Anolis sagrei: one gene and its partner. The protein of the gene in region 2 purifies or fractionates together with the protein of the main gene of each other region. This does not show direct contact. Links are inferred from orthologs where the notes say so. Each region holds a gene or a part of one and is shown on either strand. Other genes may lie near its edges.

Region 1 (7,214 bases), on a different chromosome or scaffold from region 2:
TTTTTCCCAACCCAATTCCTTTCTTTTGTCATATTTCCAATCCCAATCGGAAGCTTTTTCTCAACCCAAAATCCATTAGATTGTGCCTCCCTTTCCCATTAATTTTCAATCCCAATCGGAAGCTTCCTCTCAAACCAAATCCCCGCCATTAAACCACCTCATTTCCTTCCCCATATTGTATTATTTTCCCCCCATTCCCAACCGAAATCTTTATATTTTCAACCTCAATCCGAAACTTGGTTTCAATCCGAATCCCTTCCATTAAACCGTGCCTCTTTTTCTTCCCTATATTATATTATTTTCCCCAAATCGGAGGCTTCATTTCGACCCAAATCCCTTCCCTTAAACTACCTCCCTATGTCCCCCCCCCTCCAAATTATCTCAACCCGAATCCCTTCCTTATTATTTCCAACCAGGAGCTTTCTTCTCGACTGAAATACACGCCTCTATGCGATTTGCAATCCCAATCGGAAGCTTTTTCCCAACCCCAAATCCCTTTTTGTATTTCCCCAAATCCCTTCTCATATTTTCCCTTCCCTTCTTAAATTTTCCCCAACCCCAAATCCCTTCTTTCCCCAAACCCCTTGTATTTTCCCTTCCCCAACCCCATTATCTCCTTATATTTTCCCTTCCCCAACTCCATTCCCTTCTCATATTTTCCCAACCCAATTCCCTTCTTATATTTTCCCTCCCCCAACCGCAACCCCATTCCCTTCATAAATTTTTCCTTCCCCAACCCCATTCCCTTCTATTTTCCCTTCCCCAACCGCAAACCCATTCCCTTCTTATATTTTCCCTTCCCCAACCCCATTCCCTTCTAATATCCCCCTTCCCAATCCGAATCCCTTCCCTCCTTTTCTTACTACATCCTCCCTCTTCTTCCCCTTCTTTCTCCCCCAAAACAAGCCGCCTTGGTGGAGAAACCAACCTCTGGGGCGCCTCCGCAAAGAAAGAAAGAAAGAAAGGGAAGAAGAAGAAGAAGGGAGAAGCCGAAGCCAGGGCTGCTGCTGCCTTCGCCGCCGCTCAAAAGGAAGGAAGGACGAACCCGCCTCGTTGTGGCAAAAGCGAAAAGGGGAGGAGGAGGAGCAGCAGCAGCAGCAGGAGCCGGAGAGAGGAGCCGCTGCAGCAAGAGCCCCATCGGAGCCGCGGCTGGAGGAAGGGGGGCGGCGGGAGGGAGAGGAGAGGAGAGGAGGCGAGGAGAGAGAGAAAGAGGAGAGAGCAGCGAGGCAGGCAGCCATGAAGGAAGAAGGCATGGCCGGCGGAAGGGCTGCGAAGCTAGGCCTACCGAGGGGAGGCGCTCCCCGGGGGGATCTGGGCGAGGAAAGGCCGCGAGGGTGGCTCCCGCTACCCTCGCGGCCTTTCCTCGCCCAGATCCCCCCGGGGAGCGCCTCCCCTCGTGCACCCATTGGGAAGAAAACACCCCAAACCAATAAGCACCCATTGGCGTTGCTTTCTTTGCACAGAAAAGGCACAATAGGGTGGCCTTCACTTCCAAAATACATTTAAGGATTCCCTTTTTAGTCGGGGGTCAAAATAAACAAAAACGGGGAGGATTTAGACTTTACAAAGGGGGGAAAATTGGGGGTTCGGTTTCTCTTTTGATACCGAAAAAAGGGGAAGATTTGGACTTTGTAGGGGGATGATTAAGTGGGGGAAATTGGGGGTTCGGTCTCTTTTGACACCGCCAAAGGGGAAGATTTAGACTTTATAGAGGGAGGGTAAAGGGGGGAATTTGGGGGGGGGGGTTCAGTCTCTTGACACCGCAAAAAGGGGAAGATTTAGACTATAGGGGGAGGATTAACGGGAGGAAATTGGGGGTTCAGTCTCTCATTTGACACCGCAAAAAGGGGAAGATTTGGACTTTATAGGGGGTGGATTTAGGCTCCATAAAGGAGGGAAGATTTAGACTTTATAGGGGGAGGATAAAGGGGGGAAATTGGGGGTTCAGTCTCTCTTTCGACACAACAAAAAGGGGAATATTTAGACTTTATAGGGGAAGGATAAAGGAGGGAAAATTGGGGGTTCAGTCTCTATTTTGACACCGGCAAAGGGGAGAATTTAGACTTTATAGGGGAGGATTTAGGCTCCATAAAGGGGGGGGATATTTAGACTATAGGGGGAGGATAAAGGGGCGAAATTGTGGGTTCGGTCTCTTTTTGCCACCGCCAAAGGGGAAAATTTAGACTTTATAGGGGGTGGATTTAGGCTCCATAAAGGTGGGGAAAGGGGGAATATTTAGACTTTATAGGGGGAGGATTTAGGCTCTGAAAAGGGGGGAATATTTAGATTTTATAGGGGGAGGATTTAGGCTCTATAAAGAGGGGAAATTAGGAGTTCAGTCTCTCTTTGACACCACAAAAAGGGAAGATTTTAGACTTTATATTAGGGAAGAATAGAAGCGATTCAGTCCCTTTGCCAAAGAAGAGCCTTTCTTCCATGGCCGCCACTCGTGGCCCTTCTCTTTCCTGCTTTCGGCAGCCGCGTGGCAAAAAAACCCCCGACTTTCGAATCAATATATCCCCAAAAGTAAAGAACGGGTTGTGTTTTTCTTCCCCAGTTTGCTTACCGTTGCTGCAAGAGCCTCTCCTGCCTGTTTTCCCTTCTTGTTTGCTTGCAGCTGCTGCAAGAACCTCGCCTGCCTTGCCTTCCCCTTCCCTTCTTCTCGCCTGCTTGCTTCCTCCGGAGCGGCAACAAAAGCGCCTCCTTCCTTCTCTCTCTCTCCCTCCCTCTCCCTCCCCAGATGGCGGTGCTCACCCTCGGCTCAATGGCGAGCCAAGCCCCGGCTGCAGGAAAGAGAGGGAGAGAGGAGGAGGAGGAAGCAGGAGTAGCAGCAGCAGCAAGCAGAGGCTCTCCTCCTCCTCCACTTCGGATCGTGCCTTCCTCTCTCCCTCTTTCCCCCTCCCCTCCTCGCCCACCCACTCCTCGCCTTTGCCGCGGGGGGAAACATCTCCCCAGACAGACCGACCCCCCTATTCGTCCCCTGGCCTTCTTACCTGCTTCTCGGGGAAAAGGCAGCAGAGAGAGGCTCGTTGTTTCCGGAGGAGCGCGGGTTGACTGCACGCCAGCTCTGCAGCGCTGGCCCCGGGCGTGGACTCCTCGCTCCCGTCCCCGCAGAGAGAGCTGGCGCGGCTTTCCCCCGCCTCCATCGCGCTCGCTGTTGCTGCTGCTGCTGCCTCTGCCTCCTCTCTCTCTCTCTCTCTCCCTCCTCTCTCTCTCTTCCAATCCGGATCCTTCAGGCCAGAGCTGCTCCTGCTTCCCTTCCTCCTTCTTCTCCTTCTCCTCCAAGGCAGGACCCATCTTGGCTGCTTCCTCCCCGCCTCCTCTCTCTTCCCTCTCTGTGCTCTTCTGTCCGCCTTTCCTTTTTGCTTCTCTCTTGTGTTTTTATTGCTCTTTTGCTTGTGCAACACTGTTGTACTCCAACCAGAAGGGAGGGGGGAAAAGAGAGAGAGAGAAAGAAGGAAGGGAGGAGGAGGAGGAGGGGGCCAAGCCCTACATTTGCCACAAATCCTCTCCTCTTCTCCGTCTCTTCTTCCTTTTGGCGGGGATCACAAATCACACACGCACTGCAGTCGGGTTTTTAATTCCTCCTGAGACCTCCCCCTTTTTTCTCTCTTTCTCTTTTCAAAAGGAAAGAGAGATAGAAAAAGATCCGTTTCTATGATGCCCAAAGCAAACCATTCTTTTCTGCCACTGCGGACATGTTTTTTTTTGCAACTGAGCCATCTTTTTTTTTTAAAGGGTCCCTCTTTTGTTTGACTTGTAAACAACTAGTAAGAAAAAAAACAAACCCAAAAGGGACACTCCTCTTTTGATTTTTTTGTGGAGGGGGAAAAAAAATTAATAATCATGACGTTTTTCCAAAGCCAAAAAGGCAAGCTTGTCTTTTTTTCCCCTCCTCCCTCCTCGTTTCTGTCTCTCTCTTTTTTAAATTTTTTTTTTTTTTTTACTTTCCGAGCTCCACCTTTGTTGTTAAGGGCGTCATCTCCGGCTCCAGCCAATCCTCGGCTTTGGGAGCTGTCTGTCAAATTAACGCCGCTTCCAATGCGCAAAAGCGACTCTTTGACGCGCAGACGAAGACGCCATTAGGTGTATTTTTTATGGTGAGAGGTAGGCGGGTTCAGCCAGATCTATGCAGTCCTCTTCCCCCGCCTTAAAGTAATAATCATAAATAGTATGGGATTCCATTGCCTTTATTTTCTGCTCCGATTTGTAAATAGAAGAAGATTTAGACCATGACCATACAGCCCGAAAAAACCTACAACAACCCAGTGATTCCGGCCATGAAAGCCTTCGACAATACATAGAAGAAGATTGTCTATAGGCCCTCCCAGACAGGCCTTCAGTCCCAGGTTTTCTGCTTTAAATTGGATTATGTTGTTGTTGTTCATTCGTTCAGTCGTCTCCGACTCCTCGTGACCTCATGGACCAGTCCACGCCAGAGCTCCCTGTCGGCCGTCACCACCCCCAGCTCCCTCAAGGTCAGTCCAGTCACTTCAAGGATGCCATCCATCTTGCCCTTGGTCGGCCCCTCTTCCTTTTGCCTTCCACTTTCCCCAGCATAATTGTCTTCTCTAGGCTTTGCTGTCTCCTCATGATGTGGCCAAAGTACTTCAACTTTGTCTCTAGTATCCTTCCCTCCAATGAGCAGCCGGGCTTTATTTCCTGGAGGATGGACTGGTTGGATCTTCTCGCAGTCCAAGGCACTCTCAGAACTTTCCTCCAACACCACAGCTCAAAAGCATCGATTTTCCTTCGCTCAGCCTTCCCTAAGGTCCAGCTCTCACATCCGTAGGTGACTACAGGGAATACCATGGCTTTGACTAGGCGGATCTTTGTTGCCAGTCTGATGTCTCTACTCTTTACTATTTTATCGAGACTGGACATTGCTCTCCTCCCAAGAAGTAAGCGTCTTCTGATTTCCTGGCCACAATCTGCATCTGCAGTCATCTTTGCACTTAGATTATATTAAATTGGATTATACTACCTTCGTTACTTGGGTTTGGATGGGAATCTTATCAATCTTCTTCTATCTTCTATATCAGGGGTCCTCAAACTAAGGCCCAGTGGCTGGATGTAGCCCTCCAAGGTCATTTACCTGGCCCTCGCTCAGGGTCTACCTAAGTCTGAAGTGACTTGAAAGCACACAACAACAATTATCCTATCACAACAGCCAAAAGCAGGCCCACACTTCCCATTGAAATACTAATAAGTTTATAGTTGTTAAAATTGTTCATTTTAATGTATTGTTTTTAAGTGGGGTTTTTTTTGCACAACAAATAAGATATGTGCAGTGTGCATAGGAATTCATTCATGTTTTTTTCAAATTATAATCCGGCCCTCCAACATTTTGTGGGACCATGACCTGGCCCTCTGTTTAAAAAGTTTGAGGACCCCTGTTCTATATAAATAAAAATATAATATTCGTTTGTGGGATTAACAGAACTCAAAAACCAGTGGGCGAATTGACACCAAATTTGGACACAAGACACCTAACAATCCAATGTATGTCCTTCACTCAAAAAAATTGATTTTGTCTTTTGGGAGTTGTAGTTGCTGGGATTTATAGTTCACCTACAATCGCATGATAAAACTGAACCAACCGGGTCATACAGGACTCCCATGACCAACAGAAAACACTAGAAGGGTTTGGTGAGCATTGACCTTGAGTTTGGAAGTTGTAGTTCACCTACATCCAGAGAGCACTGTGTATTCAAACAATGATGGATCTGGACCAAATTTGCCACGAATATTCCATATGCCGAAATGTGAACACAGATGGAGTTTGGGGGAAATAGACGTTGACATTTGGGAGTTGTACTTACTGGGATTTATAGTTCACCTACAATCAAAGAGCATTCTGAACCCCACCAACGACATAACTGGGGCAAACTTCCCACACAGAACCCCCATACTTGAGGTTATCCAGTCCAAGTCCCTTCACCAGGGCAAGAAAACGTAAATCAAGACCCTCCTGACATTTTTATTTATATAGATGATTCACACACAGAGATTTAAGGCGCTCCATTGGCTGCCGTTTACCTACCAAACCCAATTCAAGGTGCAGGTGCTTACCTACAAAGCCCTAAACGGTTTGGGACCTGCCTACCTGCGTGACCGCATCTCCGTGTATGAACCCACACGATCCCTTCGTTCATCCAGAGAGGCCCTGCTTATGATCCCACCTGCATCACAGGCATGTTTGGTGGGGACGAGGGACAGGGCCTTCTCTGGTTGCCCCTTGACTCTGGAACACCCTCCCCAAAGACATTAGACTAACTAGCACCCACGTTGGCAGTCTTCAGGAAGAATCTGAAGACCTGGCTATTCCGATGTGCCTTTCTGGAATAGGATAATCTCCAGCACTACGTCCCAGAAGCACTTTATTAGAGTTTAAGACTCTCTGCACATTGCACTTGCCCGGAAATCCAAATACCACCTGCCAGACCCAGCACTTTTTAACTTGTACCCATCACTGGCCTGGCCCTGGTTTTTATTGCATAATTGATGTATTGTTTTTATTGCTTATGTTTTTATTTTGCTTTAAATTGTACTGTTATTGTTTTGCTGTTGTTGTGTTGAGGCCTTGGCCTTTGTAAGCCGTATCGAGTCCTGCGGGCGATGCTAGCGGGGTACAAATAAAGTTTAATAATAATAATAATATGTAATTTCTTTATACTTGTGGGTAAACAGTATTTCTTATTAGGTTCTTGTGGGTTTTTTCGGGCTATAGGGCCATGTTCTAGAGGCATTTCTCCTGACGTTTCGCCTGCATCTATGGCAAGCATCCTCAGAGGTAGTGAGGTCTGTTGGAATTAGGACAATGGGTTTATATATCTGTGGAATGGCTGGAGTGGGGCAAAGAGCTCTTCCCTGCTGGAGCTAGGTGTGAATACACCTATCAGGCCAACGAGTGACCTTCACTCATAAAAACACTGAAAAACACTGCAGAAAGGGCTTAAAAAGTTAAAAAATCAGAGCTCAGCTTTCATTTCTTATACTGCTGAGAAAAAATGACAACTCCTGTGTGATTGGCTGTTTTTCTTTTATTACTGAGGTAAAAGGAAAGCTGCTCTGTGATTGTTATTTCTTCTGCTGAGGTAAAATGAAAGCTGCTTTGTGATAGGTTGTTAATTCATTTACTGCTGAGGTAAAATGAAAGCTGCTTTGTGATAGGTTGTTAATTCATTTACTGCTGAGGTAAAATGAAAGTTTGT
Region 2 (7,540 bases):
GGAATGGTATAGAAAGCTAGTAAAAGTACAAAGGACTACAAAGGAGAGTGGCCTGCAGTTTATTTATAGAATACAGTCACATTGGTCTTAAATGGTACAATATTATTTTGCAATATTGCAATGGAGTTCAAGCTAGGACAGCAGTGGCTACCAGTTAGTTTTAAAAGGCATACTACAGACGTTTTACAGAACTACCAAAACAGAAATATTTTCTATAGGCTATTCATACAAGGTATTTTTCAGAGAAAAAATAGACTGTTTAGATCTGTTATAAAAACAAATTATTTCAACACGAATAATTTTTTGAAATGTATTATTTACATTGTACGCACTGCTTAAAAGCAAATAAATATAAACATTTAAACACCACACAAAAAGTGAGGATTACAGGTTTGCCAAAAGGATTTTGAACGTTTTGTGGTTCAGGAGGTTATATGGATTGGGGAAAATGACCTTGTTCATGATTTTATGGTAAAATAGATCCAAATGCATCAGTGATCATGCTGTTAATATAAGGTGGTGCATGGTTTGCAGGACCATTCTTTTTTAAATTATTTCCTCAATCATGTCCAAAAACATTCTTGGATCAACTAACTTAGAAAAATTGATGTTTACTTTTAGATTAAAAAGCATATTATTTTACTGACACAAAAGCACAGTATGTCACAGCAAATGAGATCTATATGCTGGATTTTGTATCAAAAAATCACAAGTCAAACAATTCCCAAATGTCTAGGACTTTGTGATGTATTTTCGAATGATGAGTGCATATTATTATTATTATTATTATTATTACTTATTTATATCCCACTTTCTCCAAATAATGGGACCCAAGGTTAACTACTTATCAAAATAATACAAGTTAAAAATAATACAAATATGTTGCTGCTACCAAACCACAATAGAGATTTCTGGACAATACTGTTGTCACATGGTAAAAAAAAGTAACTTTCAAAGTTTGCTTCAGTTTTTTTTGTTCTAAAGTTGTTGCTGCTGATGGTAGTGCAGTGCAATAAGTGATGATGGGAAAATGTGCAATGACAATTGGAACGGCTTTTTGACTATGATTTTGGATTGTGTTTTTTAATAATGTGTTTTAATTTTATATGATTTTTAAATTCATGTTTTAATGTATATATTTATTTTATGTCTGTTGTGTATATGACATCAAATTGTTGTCTTTGTAAGGCCGCTCTGAGTCCCCTTCAGGGTTGAGAAGGGTGGGGTATAAATACTGTAAATAAATAAGTACATGGTTGATAACATAAATAGAATTATCTTTACCTTCACACATATCTTTTTAAAACAAAAAGGACATATTATTACTCTATTTTTATCTTTAAAATATGTATAAGCCATTTCAAAGAAGACAAACCACAAAGCATGTTTATTTTTAAATCTGCATTACAGAACTTGTCACACCATATCTCAAAAAACAAAAACAAAGAAATAATCCCAAATAAAACTGCAAATAGGTCTAACACACAAACACACAAGCTATACAGAAGCACAAAGATTAGTGTTTATTGGCCTTAACGAATGTAATGTTCACTCATATTAGGGAAATTATTTAAATTATTTAAACATTCAAGATTTAGGTTGCTGGAAGAACTGCAGATTTCAAAAATATGTCAATATATAGCTTACAGCTTTGTTTAAGAAAAAATGTATCTTCTATTCCAAGCTTCAAAGTACCTTCCAACCGTGGTTTCCTTACCAATATTTCCAAGCAAGAAAAAACACGCTCGGAAATACGCTGATGCTCCCTAAATAAATTTATTCCATCTTATATACATTTACATATTCATTTACCTAGCAGTAAGTTACACTGAGAGCCAGCCTGATATAGTCATGTGAGCAGTGCATTGGCTTTATTTTAGAGTAGAACCATAAAGAATTTCACTGTAAGTCTCAAAATCCATCTACATAGAACCATAGAACAGGAAGAGACTTTGTGGGCCATCTAGTCCAACGTTCTGCCAAAAAGCAGGAAAATTGCATTCAAAGCACTCTCAATAGATGGCCATCCATGAGGATGGGTTTATTTCCAAGTATCATTCCTAGTATCAAACTATAACAAGTAAAAACCCAAAATTGCTGAACAAATTTTTTAAAAGCATCCAGTCCAAATGTCATGCATATTTGATAATATACTGTACATACATATGTATAATATCCAGTTTTTGATTGTATCATTCACATCTGAGCCATCATTTAAATTAGTTAAATTTAATTATGTGAATTTATAAAAAGATCCTTACTGTGGCCCTCTTGAAATGCCTGATGATTGTTAAGTGCAAGGGAGGCAACTGTTATGTAATCTAGAACAGGGCTTCATAAACTTTTTTCCACTCGTGACCCCTTTTTGGGTATATAGGTATATAAAACAGGTATATAAATCAAATATTTACTAATAATAAATCAGCATTTACAAGGCTTGCTAAACAGGCTGACTTTCCTTTTTGTGTACAGCTGAAGCATTTTCTGCAGAGTCCACTGTAAAAACTGCATGTTGTTCCTAACAGATTTGAGTAAATCAGTGGGTGGCATTCAGAAACCTTTTACTGTTTTTGTGATACCAACATCGAGCTAATGGGGTCCCATTTGGCACCCGGACCCACATTTTAGGAAGCAGTGTTAAAAAGCTGGTAACTAATGGTTCAGTTTGTGAAAACTAGTTCATCCAAACCTGCCATTAAAACTATGAAGTACAGTAGAGTTTCGCTTATCCAATCTTCGCTCATCAAACAATTTTGTATTATCCAACACAGTCTGTCTTCCGCCCAGATCCACAGCTGTTTCAATACATTGCGATGTTTTGGTGCTAAATTCATAAATGCAGTAATTACTACAGAATGTTACCATGTATTGAAAACTGTTTTTTCTGTCGATTTGTTGGAAAACATGATGTTTTGGTGATTAATTTGTGAAATCATAACATAATTTGACGTTTAATAGGCTTTTCTTTAATCCCTCCTTTTTATCCAACATTTTCGCTTATCCAACGTTCTGCCAGCCTGTTTCTGTTGGATAAGCGAGACTCTACTGCACCAGGAGTAATAGGGACAAAGATTAGATAATTTGTCAAAGATGTTTCTAAGTTCGTTCTAAACACAAATGGGCAAATAAAAAATACCACAGTAAAGTATTTCTATTCTTTCACCAACATACCCAGTGGCACAATGGGTTCAACCCTTGTGCCGGCAGAACTGCTGACCGACAGGTTGGCGGTTCGAATCCGGGGAGCAGGGGTGAGCTCCTGTCTCAGTTCTAGCTTCCCATGCGGAACATGAGAGAAGCGTCCCACAGGATGGTGAAACATCAAACATCCGGGTGTCCCCTGGGCAACATCCTTGCAGACAGCCAATTCTCTCACACCAGAAGCGGCTTGAAGTTTCTCAAATCGCTCCTGACATTTTTAAAAAAAACCTACACAATATAATTTAATTCAACTTGAGGCTTAAATCCTAGGCAGATTCACTTTTTAATGATGGGCGTGAATATAATTAAGTAGCCTTTGGTAGATAATTGCATTCTAGCCCATTTTAAGAGGCCATATAAACATACACATCAATCTGTCCAGGCAGGACAAATGAACCAGATTCGCATTCACTTTCAAAGAGAGCATTCCAATTACTTGATACTTGCTTGCCAAAATCTGCTTACAGTAAGCGCTGTTTTTTCTTCTTTTTTTTTCTATAATATACTAAGTATATAATTATTTGGCATTAATTTTAATATTAAACTCTTTCTATTCTATATCCTCCCGTTCTCCATTTTAAAATGTAGATGTTACCATATGTATATGACAAGTTTTGTACGGAACAGAAAAGGTTGACATATAATTGCACTTAATAAAGCTGCCATCTAGCCTTGGGAGCACGTAACCTAGACAGACATGATTTAAGGTTTGCAAAAGAATCCCCAGACTAACACTTTGGTGACAGCCAATTACAGACCCAAAACACAGCCTCAGTAAGCTGTCTGCTAGTAGGACTTGAGGAAAGGTAAAGTTTCTTACAATGAGTTACAGATTCACAAGCAGAGGAAGAGAAGAAAAAGAAAAACAGAAGGAATCCAGCAAATCTGAAGCAGACCCCAAGATCATGATAGAGCCCAAAGATGTAAATTACTGTAAATCATCACTGTTGTTCAGAATTTCACACAGACATTTGTGCCAATTCTGGCATGCTTCTCCACGGACACAATTGGGATGGGGGGGGGGGGGGCTAGAAAGAAGAGAAAAAGAGGCAGGGAGAGTATAAACGAAGTTCTGCTGTCCATATGCTTAAACAGCACAGGGGTTTAGGCTGTTTCAGCATTTTGTATGCCCTCCAAATCCTCATGAGTCATAAAATTTAAAAAGCTATATCCTTCTGGATACCAGGAAGGACCTTACCACGGGCCTTTTGTCAGACTTTCAAAAGGGGGAGGAAAGAAAAAGCCACAGTGCTGGGCAGTCCCACTTTACTTGACTACTATGATGTCACCAACCACATGATTCTGTCTCTCCAGTAACAGTGCTTGCAAAAAAAGGGATTTTTAAAGCTTTTGCTTTTTTGGATTGTGTGAATGCTTCATTTGCCTCACAAACAACCACAGAACCACAAGTGCGGTGCAAACTTTCTCCAAAAGGACACAGCGAGAAGCCTTTGGTTTTTAAATGGTTAATCTCAACAGGTCACCAGCAGCCACTGAGACCAACAGAGTCAGTAAGTACTCTCAAACCACAGTCTATTCAGTAATAGTAGATCTGTCTAATATTTGCTTATCCCCCCTCCTTTTTTGGAATTGTTTTGTTTCTTTGCTTTCTGTAGCATGTTACCCATCCTGCAGAATTTTTTGACACAGAAGAGAAATATATGCACCCTGGGTATGCTGTAAAAACTAAAATCAAGCTTGGCTATGGTTTGTGATTTCAGTTTAAGGCTTCAGACAGTTTTTGCACCAGAAGATAATCGCATACTGTGTGGCAGAGGGGAGAGCGATGGCATCAAACAGTCTCTTCGGCTCAGTGACACCTTGTCAACAAAACTTCTTCTGGGGTAAGTGACTGCCAAATGCTATGAAATATTGCTGATACCAATGAACTATGCATTACCTATTTCTGTTTAAACTGATACTGTTGAACATAGTGGAAATAGAACTGTGTATAACATTGTTGTTGTTTTTAAATACCCAGAATAGTACTATTTTACTATGTCTACAATTCCTTGAGCTACAGGTGTGCTCTTCATTATGCAATTCTCTGAATAATCAGGCACCTATATGGAAAACTTACGACTGCTGAAGTCAGCTTTACAAATATAGAGTTACAATGTGGGCCATCAATATTAAACCAACTGAATGAAGGCCCATCAGCTTTTTCATTTATTAAATTTATTAAAATAGGTATATCCCACGATATATTAACAAACTTCAGAGCGACAGAATTCTTCAAATTTGTATCATCACATTGCAATCAAGTCATATAGAAGACAAAATAGACGGATCAACGTAGATCCCGATATTTTGTTATAATAAGAAGGCCCCATACTCCACTGCGAACAATGCATTAGCACAGAGAAACTATCCTTCTTTCCATGTAAATAGATGTGACAAATTTCAGAATAATTTATGTTAAGGATCACAGTTGTTGGCAAATTTGTGTACCTAACCTGACTTATAATGTATCAATTCATATTCTCAATGTTATAAATGTATTTACAAATATACTAAAAGTTAAAGGAAACACATTATGCTCTTCTGAAAAGATTAACATACATACGGAGATCTTTTTTGCAAAACAGAATGATGCAGATGGATGTGATACCTCCAATGTTGCAAATGTTTTTGAAACCTTTGCCAATGCCTCTTTTAAAACAGACGGCTTATAATATCATCCTAGGATAAGACGTAAACTCAGCAAAGGCACTGAATGAATGCAGTCCACGAGGAAAGTTCCCAAGCTGTAAAGCAGCACCTCTAACAACCCTTTGATCTTGGCCATCTAGGATCTGTTTTTGAAATTATGTCAGTAACATATATTAATACCACATGAAATAAAAGACTGCCAAATTTTGTTTAAGAATACATAATACGACTAGGAGTTTTATACAGCAGGCAGCAGTGCTGAGATCTTTAGCTTCTAAAGATACAGTTGTCTAAACCCCAAAGGATTTTTGCCCAGCAGCCAGAGAGGTGTTTTTCCTTCCTTGGAAATACTACAAACATATTTTCAAAAATGTCTAAACAAGATCAACACAGAGACAGAGGGGAAAAAATCAAAACACTTACAATATTCCTTTAACGTTGTCCATCTGGTTCAAAATTATACCGAGGCTGTAAGCTAATAAATTTCCCTTTTTCTTTTAAGGGGGGGGGGGGGGCAACGGGGACCTGATTGATGCTTGAAATGCTTTCAGTGCAGGCACCCACCTTGTCTTCTCTCTTTAGCTGATGGCCGGAGTTCCTTTTACCCCTCCTACTTCACACGTTTCAACTGGCTCTTGTCGAAACATATGAATCTAGTGCAATCTGCGAGCACAATTAGATATGAAGCAAGGCTTGTACTCAGGGAACAGAGGGGCCTGTGTAATTTCTGATATCCAAAGACATTTGAATGCATTATATAGACCTCTGCCTCAAAGCTGACTTTCTGAAAGTTTGTCACACTGAGCTACACCGTAATTAGGCAACCAGCATGCTAAAATGTGGCACAGAAGGCCAAGGCTTTTTAGAATAGCAAGCATTTTTTTCAACCCAAACATCTACTTTAATGAAGCACAGCATAAAGGTAGCCAGACCACATTATTCCAGCGTTTATAACAGGAAGAACAGTTTACACGTACAGGGACTTTCTTTAACATCCAAAAAGAAATAACAAGAAGTTTAGCTGACAAAATTATATCTTGGGTTAACTGTTTAATTTTTCTCCTTTGGGTCATTCTTTAAATCACCAGAAAATGTCTAGGCCACGGAAAAAATCATCCTTCCAAATCTACCACGTTGAAATAAGACTGGCCAAGGAAATGGCCAAACAATAATAAATTTTCAGGTCAAAATATTAATAGCTCTTTACAATTTTGTGGTGGCAATATTTAGTTAAAGGTTAAAGCTGTTTGTTGTTGTTTGGTAGCTGTTTCAAAAGAGTAATATAAATATCTTAAGTCATTTACAGCTAGTATATGTCCATGAAAAGTTCTGATTCATGCCAATGGGAATGCATCAGTTGCTTTACTGTTCCATTCAGCAATCTCTTCTAATCAGCAATGGCTTCCTTGTCGGCCAAATTATCACCTGTCCATTAGAATGAAGACCATTATTGTTGGCTAGTAAATAAGCTAGTAATTTCCACCATTTATATCCAAGAGAGATTTAGGTAATCTTTTTTAAAAATCCGCATGTACTTATGGCAGCAAGTGTATTTTATATCATTTATTTGTAACTCATATTATAAATGAATGCAAATTCAGTATCTGAGGCCTTGATCTAGATTACTTATAATTTAGCCGGTTAATTTATTGTGCAGGTAAAAGCAGCAATAGCACATTTACTCTAA

The links. Proteins that work in one complex are often made in the same cells at the same time.
Region 1: the proteins of RUNX2 (region 2) and UBTF purify together in Homo sapiens (co-immunoprecipitation; 3 studies listed by BioGRID and IntAct, with this or other methods). This does not show direct contact. The link is inferred for Anolis sagrei from reciprocal best matches to the Homo sapiens genes RUNX2 and UBTF.

What each region holds. Positions count from the first base shown.
Region 1 is NC_090026.1:44,540,831-44,548,044, reverse strand, and holds the start of UBTF (nucleolar transcription factor 1), read right to left. Parts: upstream 3,086-7,214; 5' UTR 2,994-3,085; intron 2,698-2,993; exon of another isoform or gene 2,567-2,697; intron 1,116-2,566; exon of another isoform or gene 929-1,115; intron 1-928. UniProt on the Homo sapiens protein: Recognizes the ribosomal RNA gene promoter and activates transcription mediated by RNA polymerase I (Pol I) through cooperative interactions with the transcription factor SL1/TIF-IB complex.
Region 2 is NC_090021.1:148,150,725-148,158,264, forward strand, and holds the start of RUNX2 (runt-related transcription factor 2), read left to right. Parts: upstream 1-4,493; 5' UTR 4,494-4,712; intron 4,713-4,922; 5' UTR 4,923-4,987; coding exon 4,988-5,045; intron 5,046-6,276; coding exon of another isoform or gene 6,277-6,299; exon of another isoform or gene 6,300-6,339; intron 6,340-6,417; exon of another isoform or gene 6,418-6,474; intron 6,475-7,540. UniProt on the Homo sapiens protein: Transcription factor involved in osteoblastic differentiation and skeletal morphogenesis. Essential for the maturation of osteoblasts and both intramembranous and endochondral ossification.